Linked DNA regions of Tamandua tetradactyla. The protein of the gene in region 1 purifies or fractionates together with the protein of each later gene. This does not show direct contact. Links are inferred from orthologs where the notes say so. Each region holds a gene or a part of one and is shown on either strand. Other genes may lie near its edges.

The links. The genes of interacting proteins can lie anywhere in the genome.
Region 2: the proteins of CLCN5 (region 1) and TMEM9 purify together in Homo sapiens (co-immunoprecipitation; 3 studies listed by BioGRID and IntAct, with this or other methods). This does not show direct contact. The link is inferred for Tamandua tetradactyla from reciprocal best matches to the Homo sapiens genes CLCN5 and TMEM9.

What each region holds. Positions count from the first base shown.
Region 1 is NC_135353.1:120,412,278-120,419,538, forward strand, and holds the start of CLCN5 (H(+)/Cl(-) exchange transporter 5), read right to left. Parts: upstream 3,070-7,261; 5' UTR 2,829-3,069; intron 711-2,828; 5' UTR 570-710; coding exon 554-569; intron 1-553. UniProt on the Homo sapiens protein: Proton-coupled chloride transporter. Functions as antiport system and exchanges chloride ions against protons. Important for normal acidification of the endosome lumen. May play an important role in renal tubular function.
Region 2 is NC_135330.1:58,231,626-58,239,372, reverse strand, and holds the start of TMEM9 (proton-transporting V-type ATPase complex assembly regulator TMEM9), read left to right. Parts: upstream 1-4,698; 5' UTR 4,699-4,807; intron 4,808-5,226; 5' UTR 5,227-5,263; coding exon 5,264-5,338; intron 5,339-6,445; coding exon 6,446-6,537; intron 6,538-7,747. UniProt on the Homo sapiens protein: Transmembrane protein that binds to and facilitates the assembly of lysosomal proton-transporting V-type ATPase (v-ATPase), resulting in enhanced lysosomal acidification and trafficking.

The DNA.
Region 1 (7,261 bases):
AGATGTTTTTAAGCTTTCCTCTCAGGTAGCTCGTTTTATTTAAATAGTCATTTTCCCCCATTCACCAAATATAAACATTACAACATTAAACGTGCTTTTTCAATGCTTAAGCCCCATGAAAGTCTTTATCGGGAAGAGAAAGCTGGGGAGGTACTAAATTGCCCCCCCCACCTCTGAGATGCTTATGATAGACATTTACCAGAAACAAATGAAAAGCATATATACGAAAAAATATCTTCCATTTCCTCACATATAACCCCAAAAGTACATGCTTAAATGAAGAAAGTTCTTTAAAAAAATGCTCTGCACTAAACTTTCCTGCTACTTTTCCTCCCACCCCTCCACCCTCACTTTAAAATAATTTGAACTTCTAGCTAGCAACAGCTTCTTTTAAACTAATGTGCTTTGTCCTTGCCAAGACAAAGAGTTAAATTAAAGAAACAGCTGGCTGTCTGCCACTGGCTTGGGGGGGGGGCGGAAGGGGAGGTTAGGGGTGGAGGATAGAGAAGGAGGAAAAACCAGTTAGAGGAATACAAGTGCTAATTTTTCTTACCCTGCCACATGGCCATCTTGATCCTATATTCTCCCACACTGGGGTTGCAGGATCAGAGTTTCCAAGAGCACCCCAGTTTTGCAGGGAGACTTGAATGGGGTGTAGATGGAACCAGCTTCGTGGTTGCTGCTTTCTGGAAGATGCTAATGTCCCAAACCTGAAAGTCCAAAACTGAAAAATGAATACCTAAGTGAAAATATACACTTTAAAGTCTTGAAAAATTCTTCTGTTCCTCTCTGAATCTCTCTTTCAAAGATGCAGACATAGGCAGTGTTACATTACTCTTAAGTAGCAAAGAATTGCTGAAGACAGAATCAGGAGACCAAGAGTTAGTTAATTTTGCCACTCAGTGCTGTAAGATTCTACATGAATCACTGAATCTTCAGATCTCAAAGTGTGGCTGGTTGGAGGTGATAACCATTAAGTGTCTTTCCTATCTTGACGTTTCATGCTTTGGGGAATGAAGACTAGTATAATATTCATTTCCCTATTCAACCCGCAAAAGATCCAACTTTACATTAAACAATCAGTAGAAAAGGGAGAAATTTTTATGAGAACTTCAAGTTTTAAGATATATTTTGCATAGGAAAAAAATGAAAGGAAGCAGAATAAAGAATTAAGAGCGATGATTTTTAGCTAGTGGTTCCTTCTCCCTACTTCTTTACACTTTCCCATACTCGGCAAACTTCCTATAGTAAACATATATTGCTTTTATAGTCGGGGGGAAAATGAACCAAAGAAAGAGAAAAATGTAAAAACGAAATACCAATTTAAGAAAGGCAAATTAAGTCAGCTAATTCCTATTTTTAAAACTTCAAATCCAGTCTTAGGACAGTACTTTCTGCAAGAATATGAAAGGAGAAAAGTATAGGAGAAAAAGTGAGATGTTTGTACTTTACTGTGATTGAGACATTTAATATATTAAACACTTTGCTTGTCCATTTAAGCAAGTTCTTAATAAATTGGCCTTCCTTATTTAGCATACAAACTAATCTGCTTTTTTTTAAAAAAAAAAAAAGTCTCCACCTTTCAGAATTGGTGAACATTAAAGTAGGGGTGCTATTACTGTAATTTTTATACAGCTAATACCTCGGGCCCCGAAGTGACAGCGCTAAAGCACAAACACTTAAGACGAATACTAACTTGAGAATCATCATTTTGGCCTTCTTTCATGACTTTTTGTTTTTTAAGGACAAAGGATTTAATGTACAATACTCCCGAAAATACTGATAGACAAAGGACAATGCTTTGGTTAAGGAAAGTTTCGAGAAGTTCAGGAAAACTAGGAACTCATCTAAATCCCAGGATGATTTCGCCATGAAAAAGCACTCGGATGACTTATCTGCAATCTGGGACAGTTTGTTTGGTTTGCCTTTTTTTTTTTTTTTTAATCTTATTCTGCATGCAGTTAAGAAGTACTGATTGTACTTGTTGCACAAGGCGAAATTTAACATCTCTGCAGTTAAACCAGGGTAGCTGTTAATAAATTGATGAAGTTTATGTAAAGCGGATTCTTACTGGCTTTTTATGCTCCGAACATCTGGATTTCCCTCACTTACTCCGGGAAGCTTACAGTGACGTTATGACACAGGCGCACACATACACACACACACACACACACACACACATCACAACTTCACTTGGAACTACAGGAAACCGATTTGTTCTGAACTATTAATAAAGATACATGCGCGTCAATGTAAAGGTAAAGCTTTTCCCTTAAGGGTATAGGAGCTCAAGCGCAAACCTCGAAAAGTTTGGAGAAGATCCATCTAACGCGCGTCAACTGGGAAAAGAAAAACGCACAGCAACTACTTTTCCTAAGTTTGGACGTGATTTTGCTAAAAACCCACACAGACCTGCGAGTCCAGAGTAGGAGAGCGAAGAACAGGGCCTCGCCCTCTTCCAGAAAAAGCCACCCGGCCCCAGTCCTGGAAAGGGAACACATGCGACTAACCTCTCACATTCAAAACCCGGGCGTGCTTGGCGCCGCTCGCGAGGAAACTTCGCGCAGGCAACTCAGGGACCCTAGTTCGGAGGACAGGGTTGGGCTGCCGGGAAGATGCCGCCCCGCACTGGCTAGAACTAGCCTGTCTAACTCCTCCAAGTGCCAGGCAGCGGCGGCCGGGCACGGGGATCTCTGTCTCGGAGGAGCCGAGCCAGCAGGGGAGCGCTTCCCCTGTTGCTGCTCTCCGGGGGTGTCCAAGGGGATGGGCCGGGGGCCAGCGGCGCCGCGAAGAACCTGTTGGGGAAAGGACAGCCCATCTGTCTTTACCTGTCGCGGAGGTCTGGAGCGACTGGGTTGGTGTCCGCCGCTGGCGGACCGAGCGCTCAGTCCGCTCGGGCGTGCTGGACACCAAGTTGAGCTAGCGCCCCACGTAGCCCGCAGAGCTTCATTCACAGAACCCAGCCAGGGAGGAGGGGGAGCGGAGAGGGCGCGCGGCTCATGTGACAGGCGCCTCACAAGTCTCGGCTGAGCACGGCCGCCGTCTGCGCGTGCGCGACACAGCCAGCCATCACCCAGCACCTCCGCCAAGTTGGGGGGCGGGGGTGGATGCGGGGGAGGAGGAGGCCGGACGGAGAGAGCAGCTGGGAGGGGTTTCTGCGTGCGCAACCGCAGTAGTCGGCCCTGTTCGCTGCCATATTTAATGTGGATTTGGCGACTCTAACCCAGTGGTGGGCGTGTCAATTGTGTTTGAAAAAGAAATGCTGTATCCCGTTTCGCTGTTTGGAGCCTGCAGTGCCTTCTTTGGTTTTGTTATTAAAAATAAAGCTGTTTATCATGAGCTGCTCGCCCACAGAGTAGTTAGTAGTAGAAATATAGTACTAACAACATTAAGTCGTATATTTTGAGCTTCATGTGCTAGGCACTGCTTTAAGCCCTTAATTTTTTTATGTTTACAATAACCCCATGGGGTACGTACCATTATTTCTCCATTTTTATTCATAAGAAAGTAGAGGCATAGAAAGGTTAAGTAACTGGTCTGAAATAACATAATAGTAGCAACAGGAATAGTGATAAAATAGAGTAATGCTTGTTAATAGCCAATTTGATCCTCAAACAGCAAAACTGCAGGGTACGTACTGCAGTTATCAGTACTAGATCCGTTTTAATAATTACAAAACAGGCTCCGCAAAGGGAAGGGTCGTCGGACTAGTAAATGGGTGAACGGGAACTCCAACCTATATCTAACTCCAAAGCCCTTGCCCTAGGCACAGAAAAACAGCACCTAATTTTACAGAAGAAACAGTTCACGCCAAACGGAGTGCATTGACTTGCTTAAAATGAATCAGTTTATTAGTTATTGGCAGGAGTGAAACTGGAATACATATAATCAATTCAGGTAATCTAACTAGAGCCCAAGTATTCTAGTTTAAGAGTCTATTGCAGCAAACATTTTTGAGTACCTACTTTGCACGTGGTAAGTGCAAAGGAATAAAAAATATTTATCCTAAGCCCTATCAATTTAAGGCCTGCAGGAATAAATCTTGTAGTCCTGCAAAGTCAGGCTTCTTTTTTCTTTTTCCAGGATTTCTATTTATTCACGTAGATATATAATTATCATCATAATTGACAGACACTTTTTAGTTCTTAGATTTTAAGGGAAAAAACTGTACAGAAAGTACCGCAAAATTATGTCCCTAGGTAATTAGTGTCCTCAGTATCAGACTGGTAAAGAAGTTGGAAAGGGCCACTGCTCAGCAACCTTGTAACTCAAGAGCATAGAATACAATCAAAATCGGGCTTCCTGATTCATTGCAGTGATGGAGACAGTACACCAAAGAAAGCATGGGAGCGTTGCCAAAAAAGAAAAAGATAGATTTGGTGAAAGAATGGAGTTTAGGTGAATTTTAAATGAAGCAGTGTTTTAGTAAAAGCAAAGCAGGCCTGTGTTTAAAGGGGTCAACATCCGGTCTGGACTGTGAAGTGAACTCAGAATCCTGTTTCCTTGGGAACCAAGAAGTAAAGATAGATGTGGAATGTTGTGTCCAGATAGCCCTATCTGAAGCTCTACACCTAGGTTGGAGACCGAGGCTGCTTTTCTATGTCAAAGAGACTTATGTTCTCCAGACCAGCATGGGATGTTTTATGCTGACTGATATAATTTCAAACAGCACAGTTGCTGATAATCTACAATGTTAGAGAGCAAAGTTTTTCAGTGATTAAAAAAGCAGGAGTCACTCAAATAAAGGAGTTATGATTTTACAGCTGCAGCATGTCTTTGGGAGAAATATTGTTCCCTGTTAAATGTGCAGCTGGCTTTATCTGCCTGGTATTCTACCCTGATGAATGGCCAAGCGAATTTTACATTCTCATTCCAAGCTAATTTTTACCTTCTCAACTGGTAGAATCTTGTCCCTTCTCTCAGGCACTCATAATGTGTATATAGGATGGAGGTGGAAGGGTAGCCACAAATAACCAGAAAGGAGACAGGGTCAATTTAACAAAAAGTGAAACAACCCAATTAAAAATAAGCAAAGGATTTCAATAGACATTTCTCTGAAGAAAATATATAAATGGCTAATAAGCACATGAAAAGATGTTCAACATCATTGGTCATTAGGGAAATGTAAATAAAAGACATAATGAAATACCATTTCACATCCACTAGATGGTTATTATTTTAAAAAAAGAAAATAACAAGTGTTGACAAGGATGTGAAGAAATAAAAACCCTTATACATTGTTGGTGACATTGTAAAATGGTGCAGCCACTGTGAGAATCAGTTTGGTGGTTCCTCAGAGAGTTGAAAATAGAATTTACCATATTACCTGGCAATCCCACTTCTTGGTATATACCCAAAAGAACTGAAAGCAGGGATTTGAACAAATATTTGGACAATAATGTCACAGCAGCATTATTCACAATAGTCAAAAGGTAGAAGCAATTGAAGTGCCTGTCAACAGATGAATGGATGAATAAAGTGGATGTATACACACAATGAATATTATTCAGCATTAAAAAGGAATGAATTTCTGATGCATGCTACAACATGGATGAACCTTGAAGACGTCACACTGAGTGAAATAAGCCAGACACAAAAGGACAAATATTGTATGATCCTACTTTTATGAAATACCTAAAAGAAGCAAAGTTCATAGAATTAAATAGTAAATTGCAGGTAACTAGGTGTCAGGGAGTGGGGGCAAGATTTATTGCTTAATGGATGCAGAGTTTCTGTTTGAAGTGATGAAAAAGTTAGGGCAATGAATACTGGTGATGGTAGCACAATATTGTGAATGAAATTAATCTACTGAGTTATATACTTGAAAGTGGTTAAAGAGGGAAATTTTGAGTTGTATATATGCTACTACAATAAAAACATTTTTTAAAAATATGAGCTACCACCTTACATCCACCAGAATGATTATTACTTAAAAAAAAAAACAGAAAATTGAATGTGTTGGCAAGTATGTGAGGAAATAAGAACTCTTGTACATTGTTGCTGGAAATGTAAAATGGTGCAGCTGTTTGGAAAATAGTTTGGTTGTTCCTCAGAAAGTTGAACATAGAATTAAATAACATGACCTGGCAATCCCACATCTAGGTATACACCCCAAAGAATTGAAAGCAGACAAACAGATATTAATACACCCTGTTCATAATGCATGATTCACAATAGCAAAAGGTGGAAGCAACTGAAGTATCTATCAACACATGGATGGAGTAACAAAATGTGGAATGTAAGCACAATGGAGTAGTACTCAGCCATAAAGAGGTATGAAGTTCTGATGTGTACCACTACATGGATGAACTTTGAAGACATCAAAAATACCTTTCACAGTCTTTGCAAATTGGCTCCCCGCTGGCCAATGCTTTCCTGCTGAGTTTAGCCCTCCTATCAAGAAGATCAATCCGAGGCAAATGTGAACTGCAGAGTCCTCTCCGTGGTTTCTGAGCCTGCATCTTGTCCTGGACTTGTGCTTGCTCATGACCTCAGGAATGCCCCCTTTTATAGGAATTAGAATTCCCCCTCTACTCCCTATGAAATAGCCTTTCTCACCCTCCATATTGCATAACTTAAAGTAAGTAATCCTTTGCCCAGGTCACTTTGACTTAATTGTTTCTTACACTGCTTTAGGTGTCTGCAAACACACTGCTTCTGCCTGCAAGACAAGTTCTGGGAGAGTAGACCAGAGAGGAGTTTTCTGGTTTAGTCTTTGAAGCTGCCACCTGATAGAGTGGAACCTACATACCAGGCAATTATATGCACCTAACAACAGAGAACAAAATATATGAAGCAAATATTGACTGTTTTGCAGGGAGTGATAAGTGGTTCTACATTAATAGTATGAGACTTCAATACACCACTTTCAATAATGGATAGAACATTTAGACAGAACACCAGTAAGGACATTGAAGACCTGAACAGTAATAACCAAATAGACCTAACAGACATATATAGAACACTTCACAGAACAGGAGCAGAATATATATTCTTCTTTAGTACACAAGGATCATTCTCCAGGATAGACCATATGTTCAGTCACAAAGCAAGTCTTCATAAATTCAAAGATTTTGAAAACATGCAATGTAGCTACACTGATCACAATGGAATGAAGCAAGAAATCGATTAACAGAGGGAAAGCTGGAAAATTCAAAAATGTGTGGAAATTAAATAATGCACTCTTAACCAATTAGTAAAAGAAAAAAATCACAAGGGAAATGACATATCTTGAGGTGAATCAAAAGGAAAACACAACATA
Region 2 (7,747 bases), on another chromosome or scaffold:
TTCTCTTTTACCCGTGTGTTTTGGTTTGCTAAAGCTGCCAGAATACAATATACCATAAATGGATTGACTTTTACAAAGGGGATTTATTAGGTTGCAAATTTATAGTTCTTAGGCCATGAAAATATCTGACTTGAGTTATCAACAAGATGATACCTGGACTCAGAAGAAAGGCCATTGGCATGTAGAACACTTTGTCAGTTGGGAAGGCATGGCTGGCACCTGCTCGTCCTTGCTCCTGGTTTATTGCTTTCAGTTTCTGATTCCAGGGTTCTCTCTTAGGTTCTTTGGGGCAGACGCTAGATTTCATCTTTTAGCTTAGCATGTCCTGGGGCATTTTCTGCCTCCAAACATCTGTGCTTTCTAAGAAATGTCTCTTTCTTAAAAAGCTACAGTAAGTAGATTAAGACCCACCTTGAATGGGCAGGGTCACATCTCCATGGAAACAAACCACCCACAATAGGTGTGCCCCCACAAGAGTGCATATAAAGAACATGGCTTTTCTGGGGGTACATAACAGTTTCAAACTAGCACAGCATGGATTATTCATGCTTATTCATCTGACAGAGGTGTTCTGGATAGCATCAGCCTTTCTTGAGTGAAGGTAACCTCTTGTTGGTGGCTTAATTTGGACACTTCCACTTCACTAGAACTGTAAACTGGTAACTTATTAAATTCCCTTTTTAAAAGCTGTTCTATTTCTGGTGTACTGCATTCCAGCCGCTTAATAGACTAATACAGGGGGTAACTGCTTAAGGCTCATGGCCTCCTTTCTCCATTGTCAAAGCTAGCAACATAGCATCTCTCTAACCCTGCTTCTGTCATTGAATCTGACTATAGCCAGAAAAGATTCTCCATTTTTAAGGACTGGTGAGGTTACATTGGGCCCACCTGTGGCATAATTTTATTCTTGGCCTGGTGGCTTAGTCTCTTTCTCTCCCTCCCTCGCCATTTTGGCACGTCCAGTTCTTCTAGACCTCTGAATTACAGGCCTCGCCGGCGACTAGTGATGATGCAGCCTTGTCTCTCTAACCCTATTGGTCTTCTCCTTAGTCCTCCACCTACCCAACATCCACTGCTACAAGTACACTCAGGAACAGCATCTCTATGGTCACAGTCACTCATCCGTCCTCCCTGTGTGATTGGCTACCCTCCCCTGGAGGCCACGCCCTAACTCCGCCTCTCCTCAAACTGTATATAATCCAGGGCTCGTCAAGCCTCGTGGTCTTTAGCTTCTGGCGGCCCTGGCATAAGCATCTACCAACAATAAAGCTACCTCGCTTCATGCCTTAAATGACTCGGCCTCCAGTCCTTTAGACCCGCAGCGAGGTCTCCTGCACGCGCCCCTTGGACCCAGACCCCCGGCTCGAGCCCCTTTTCTGCGTGCGGCAGTGTCGTCTGGCAAGCAGTGAGAAGCTGAGGAGTAGAGGGTCCCCGATAGTTTAGCGGTTGGCCCAAACCGCACCCACCCAGATAAATCAGAATAATCTCTCCATCCCAAGGTTAACATAATCACATCTGCAAAGTACCCCATGCAAGGCAACATATTCACAGGTTCTGGGGAGTAAGAAGCAGATATCTTTGGGGAGCCATTATTTTGCCTACCACACTGGCCCATCTCAAATAGCCCCCAACTATTCCCTAAAATTCCCTTTCTACCATTTCAGACTCTTCTAGCTCTTGGTCTCCGTCTCCCATAGGCTTTTGCAGGGTGTGTCCACAGCTCCCTGGTCTTCTCCAGGCATAGTTCATACAGTTCTTATAATCCTGAACTGTAATTGCTTATTGATTTGTCATTTTCCTGAAATAAACCTTAAGTATCATGAGAGCAGAGACAGGCTGTATCTTGTTTACTTGAAAAACATTTTGGGGACAAAAGAACCGTTCTATGACATAACACTTTTTACATTAAATTATATTACAACCATATCATTTCTCCTGTAGTAGACTACGCACTTCTTGAAAACAGGGTTCACATGTGGCTTGTCTGTTGTAGTCCTGGGGTCACCTAGCATGGTGTATGGCTCATAGACAGCATTTGGCACATGTTTTTGGAGTTGATTTGGATGAATAGATTCAGACATATCTCAATGGCTTCTCAAACACAGGGCATGTGGGGAACACGTGGGAACAAAGTACATGGGTCAAGTAGGACTACCTGGGAAGGTTCTGGAATAGAAGTGATTGGGGCAGAAGCTTGAAAGAGATGAAAGGTAAGGATTAACAGGGCTGAGGGAGTGATGGCCTTCCATAGAGGGCTAGTATGTGCAAAGTCAAATGTGGGAGGCAGCTGGAAGAGAGTAACCAGAGATGAGATGGGGTGGGGAGGGTTATCATGCAGCCAGGCAGAGAGGTCTGGATTTGACATGACAGGATGCTAAAATGGACTACTGAATGACAGAAGAGGTGCTGAAAACAGGCTTGGAGGAAGACAGGAAGGATGGAGGAGGACATAGGAAGGGAGTATATTTTAGGAAGCAGAGAGCGAGCTCTGGAAGGATGAAGGCAGCATGACAATGGCTGCCTCTTGGAGACATCCAGATAGACTAGATGTTGGGATAGGAGAAAAGAACAATCAAAGATAATCTGACGCCACAATCTGAGAAATGTTAGATGATAGTGCCATGAGGACCCTGGGTGGCCTTATCTTTAAAGGGTATATTTAGTGTTGGGTGTCAGAGGCCCACCCATTGGAGGTAATTACCCAGTCACATCCTTGGAAGTTCCCCCACCTCTACAGAGGAGGTGTATGGGAAGGCAGGAGGGTGTTTTCCGGTGCATGAGCTGTCACTTCTGCTCCCATGTTGTAGGCATCATTTCTCAACACCCCAACAGTCATTCTGACCTCTAGAATGAGCTGACTTTTGCATTTATGGGGCCCCCCTCTTTATCCAGACACATATATGTGTGCTGGTTTGAATCTATTATGTGCCCCCACAAAAGCCATGCTTTAATCCTGACTCAATCTTGTGGGAGCAATTCTGATTCAATCCTGATTCAATACTATAGGGCAGAAACTTTTGATTAGAGTATCTCCACAGAGATGTGGTCCACCTAATTGTGGGTGTAACCTTTTGACTAGATGGAGATGTGATCCACCCATTTCAGGTGGGTCTTATTAGTTTACTGGAATCTTTTGAAAGAGGAAACACTTTGGAGAGAGCCGACAGAGAGTAAAGCTGACAGAAACTTCAAGCCCAGAGCTGACACAGATGCCAATACTTGGAGAACAGAGACACAGATGTTTGGAGATGCTTGGGGCCCAGCAGATGGCACTATTACATGTCAAGCAAGCTAGAACCTGGAGCAAGCCAAGGGAAGCCAAGAGATGAAAGCCAGCCCTGAAGAAGTAAAGTGAGGATCTCCCATAGGAACAGAGGCTGAAAGCAATGGAGCACAGGTGCAAGGGACCAGCAGATGCCAACCATACGACTTCCCAGCTGACAGAGGTGTTCCTGACCCATTAGCCTTCCTTAAATTAAGGTATCTTTCCTGGGTGGCTTAGTTTGGACATTTTTGTAGGCTTAGAACTGTAAATTTGCAACTTATTGAATTCCCTTTTTGAAAGCCATTCCATTTTGGATGTATTGCATTCTGGCAGCTTGCAAATAACATGGTGTTACAGCAACCTGTAAGCCAAGTAATATCGCCCCATTTTATGGATGTGGAAATTGAGTCCCAACCATCCAAATTCGCACAACCAGGAAGGGAGGAACCTGGACTTCACCCTGATCCTTCTAGTTCCAAAACCCATGAGCTTTGTGTCACTCCTTAGTCCTCCTGCCCTCTCTCTATCACCCTCGTTTTAATTTAATTCTACCCTGTTCAGTTCAGCAAACATTTCCTGAGCAACCACCAAGTTTAGGGGACTCTGCCAAGTGAAGAGGATATAAAGGTGAATAAGATACAAATTCCACTACCTTCAGAGGCAGTACCTACTACAGCACATCTGGATGGGGCTGCATTCCACCTGGACCTGACCTGTGTGCTGCTTCTGGCCCCCAAATTCAAATTTGGATCCAATTAAACCACCCCCCAGGAATCCCAGAATATCAAAGCTGAAAGGGAATCTTAGTCCAGTCAACTTGTTTTACATGGAAGGAAACAGAGGCCCAGAGAAGGGAGGTGTCTTTTCCAGGGTAAAGCAGCTGTTTAGTGGCAGAGCCAGGCAAAACCCAGGTGCTCTTTCCTCCACAGTCGGCGGGAAGTTCACATCTGCCTCCCAGCAGCCTGGGATATCTTCCCCCAATTTGCCTGGCCCAGAACCAGCTTGGAACAGGTGGATCAGGCTAATGGGACCCAACAAGCCACTCCTGCTTTCTTCTTCCACCTCAGGCGTATGTATTTGTGTGTCTATGAATAACAATTCCAGATTGTGAATAAGGACGGAGCCCTTGTGTCTGTTTTTATCATTACTGTTGCTGATACTATTTCACGGTTTATAAAGTGCTTTCTCTTTAACACAGCCAGACGGAGCAGGCTTAGCCTCTCTCTGAAACTCGATCCTCACAATTTAAGAAGGGGCGAAGCACCGCAGAGGGATTTTGCAGGTCATATATGCAAGACCCTTCCCAGTTTCCACTTGGGAAGTTTGACGTTCCCTTTTCTTGTTTGCTCGGGTTTGAGAAATTGCTCGCTCTCCCTTGCGCGAGCCTCCCCGCCCAGCGAGGGTGGGTCTTATCGCCTTGGCGATAGCGGGGTCGAGAGGCTGCTCTAGCAGCCAATAGAAGCCGGAGGGGGGCGGGGCCAGCTGGATCCTCTGTTGCTGGAGCTGGACTCGGAGGTTCACGGACCCCAGTTTGGGGAAGAGGTGCGGGGGCTTGCGGGATTTCAGGGGTCCAGCCTGGCCCAAGACCCCTGGGATGAGGGCTCCCAGGCTTTGCATCCAAAGTTCCCGTCGGCCCTGAGCGGGGAGGAGCTGCGGGGCGGGTGGAGATGGCGGAGGGCTGTGGGGCGCGCTGCGAGGGTCAGAGGTGGGCCTTGCGGAGGCGCTCAGGCCCCGGACGGCCCTGTCCCCGTGAGACCCCGTCCACAGGGCGCATCAGGTGGGCAGTGGAGAGCGGGAGACTTGGGAAAGGCGGCACTTGGCTAAGGGTCTCTGGAGGCCCTGGAATCCCGGATCCCAGTCCCCACCCCTATTCCCAAGTCCAGGCAAGAGGGTTAGGGGCCTAGTGTGGTGGTCTGTGGTGGGACGCCCACCTCTTCCCCGACTCCGTATCTCCTTTCCAGGTGACCAGTATTGCTGTCATAGCGAGCCTGAATAAGCATGAAGCTCCTGTCCTTGGCGGCGGTGGTCGGGTGTTTGCTGTTTCCTTCAGCTCAAGCCAGCAAGGTGAGGGAGGTGAGCCGGTAGTTCCTAGAACACGACCGCCCTGCTGGCGGGGCCACCCCACAGGTAGCCGTTTCTCAAGCCCTGCCTCTCATTCACCTCTGGGGCCGTGCTTTTCGCCCTGTTCCCTCAGGTGCAAGGCTGCAGACTTCCCTAAGGTTAGCAGGTGTGGTAAAGAAACTTGTGGCAGGGATGGTGCACATGAGACAGGCCCAAGGTGGAATTCCAGCTAGGAAGTTTGGGTTTGGGGGAGTTATTTCAGTTCTTCTTTGCTCCTATGTACAATGAAGGTGGTTATAGTATCTACTGCTCTACTTAGGAAGAATCAAATTACATAATGAAGTAAAAATGCTACATTTTGATGTACAAGAAAGTATATAGGCTATACAGATGGAATTTTCTATTAGTAAGTGTGACCAGTCTGAGTGCTGAGCTCCCTGAGTTAATTCTTTAGGGGTAAGAGAGCTGGAGTTGGGTTTGGGTGGGTCCATGGAATTTGAGATTCTGAAGATCACAAGTCTTTGAAGAAGGGTGACTCTCAGGATTGACTTGCTTTTACCTTCCCCAGGGGATGTTCCTTATTAGAATACTGTGGTGCTATCTCTCTTACCCTTTCCAGAGGGGAAGAACTTTCAAAGGAGTTGCTTGAATATTCTCTTGAAAATGATACACTTTCTCTCACTTACCCCTGCTCTTTTCCTTCCCCCAGTTCTAACCTAGGAAGTTGTAGATGGAATGCATTGGGGGGAGGGGGTCTAGTGTTCGAGCCTGCTGGACAGAGATGTACTTACAGATGTGGGACCCAGGCTGTCAGTTTGCGTGTTGTGCCTCCTGCTTCACCCTTCTCCCACCCTCTCCCCTCGTCACGCACCCACTTGAGGAATGGTAATACTGGACAGCTTTCTGTGTATCCCATTTGCCACTGGACAGTTTCTGTCTTGAGGGCCCTGTGATAGAGCATCCTTTCTAACAGAAGTCATTTCTTGCTGAACTTGGGAATATAGAAAGATCAAGTTATACAAGCATGGTCGCCTTACAGAACAAGGAGCCAAAAGTTGGGAATCTTGCTAGAACAGAACCCAGGGGTCCTGCCTACCTAATCTGAGTTTTCTCTTCTAGAGCTCTGAAGATATCCGGTGCAAATGCATCTGTCCACCTTATAGAAACATCAGTGGGCACATTTACAACCAGAATGTGTCACAGAAGGACTGGTAAGACATTGCATGGATGGCCCTTGGCTTCTAATGATGTGTGAGGTGTTTATAGGGTATTTGGAGCCTCTAGAGGATAAACGTGCTCTCTCCATTCCTGTGGAGAGCCTGCAAAAGGAATATTTTGTTCATGGTCATGCAGCTAATTAGAAACAGAACCCACATGTCTTGAATTCCAGCTGAGGAGTTCCTGGTCAGAGGAATGGATTTTGTTCTTTTGCTTTGAATTTGGGTCTTCATTGATGTAGGAAAATTGGTAGTAGGGAAGGTGGAATCAATGCTCTGTGCAATTTTTTTGCATGGGCAGGCACGGGGAATTGAACCCAGGTCTCCCTCCTGGCAGGCGAGAACTCTGCCTGCTGAGCCATCATGGCCCACCCAATGCTCTGTGCTTTTTCAAAGCCCTGTTACATGTTATTCTATTTCAGTCTCCTTGTAAGGTAAGTGGTATGGGTATGGTTCCCATGTTTTAATTGTAGAGACTGAGCCCCAGAGAGAGAATTTAAATTGTACTCCTGAAGTCTTAATTCATTTCCCAGTGTGTCACTTTATTTATTTATTTATTTTTATTTATTAAGCATACCAACATACAAACACAAACATTCTTACCATATGATCATTCCATTCTTACTCACAATATCATCACATAGTTGTATATTCATCATCATGATCATTTCTTGGACATTTGCATCAATTCGGAAAAAGAAATAAAAAGAAAACAAAAAAGTTCATACATACCATACCCCTTACCACTCCCTTTCATTGATCACTAGCATTTCAATCTACTTGAGTCCAGCCTGCCTGACTTCAGATCTAGCTTTGCTGCTTGTTAACTGTATGACAAATTATTTCATCTCCAAAGAATTTTAATTTCCTCATTTGTAAAATGTTGGCAATATTTTAAGTATTAAATAAGTGCGTGTTTGTGCATGCTTGCACATAAGTACAGCACTTGGAACAATGCCAGGTACATAGTAAGTGCTACACAAATGTTAGCTGATATTATTATTAATATACTATCATCACATCACTCCTTACCAAAGAGGCCACATAGTGTCAGACTTGCACCACAGCCCCAGAAAGTGTGGACTCTTTCTACAGCATTAGACTTTTTCCATCTGCTTTCTAAAAAGATTCACAAAATCATAAGAGAGGAAGTCCTGGGAGGAGCCCCTGAAACTCCCTTGTATCTTATGATTACAGTTCAAAT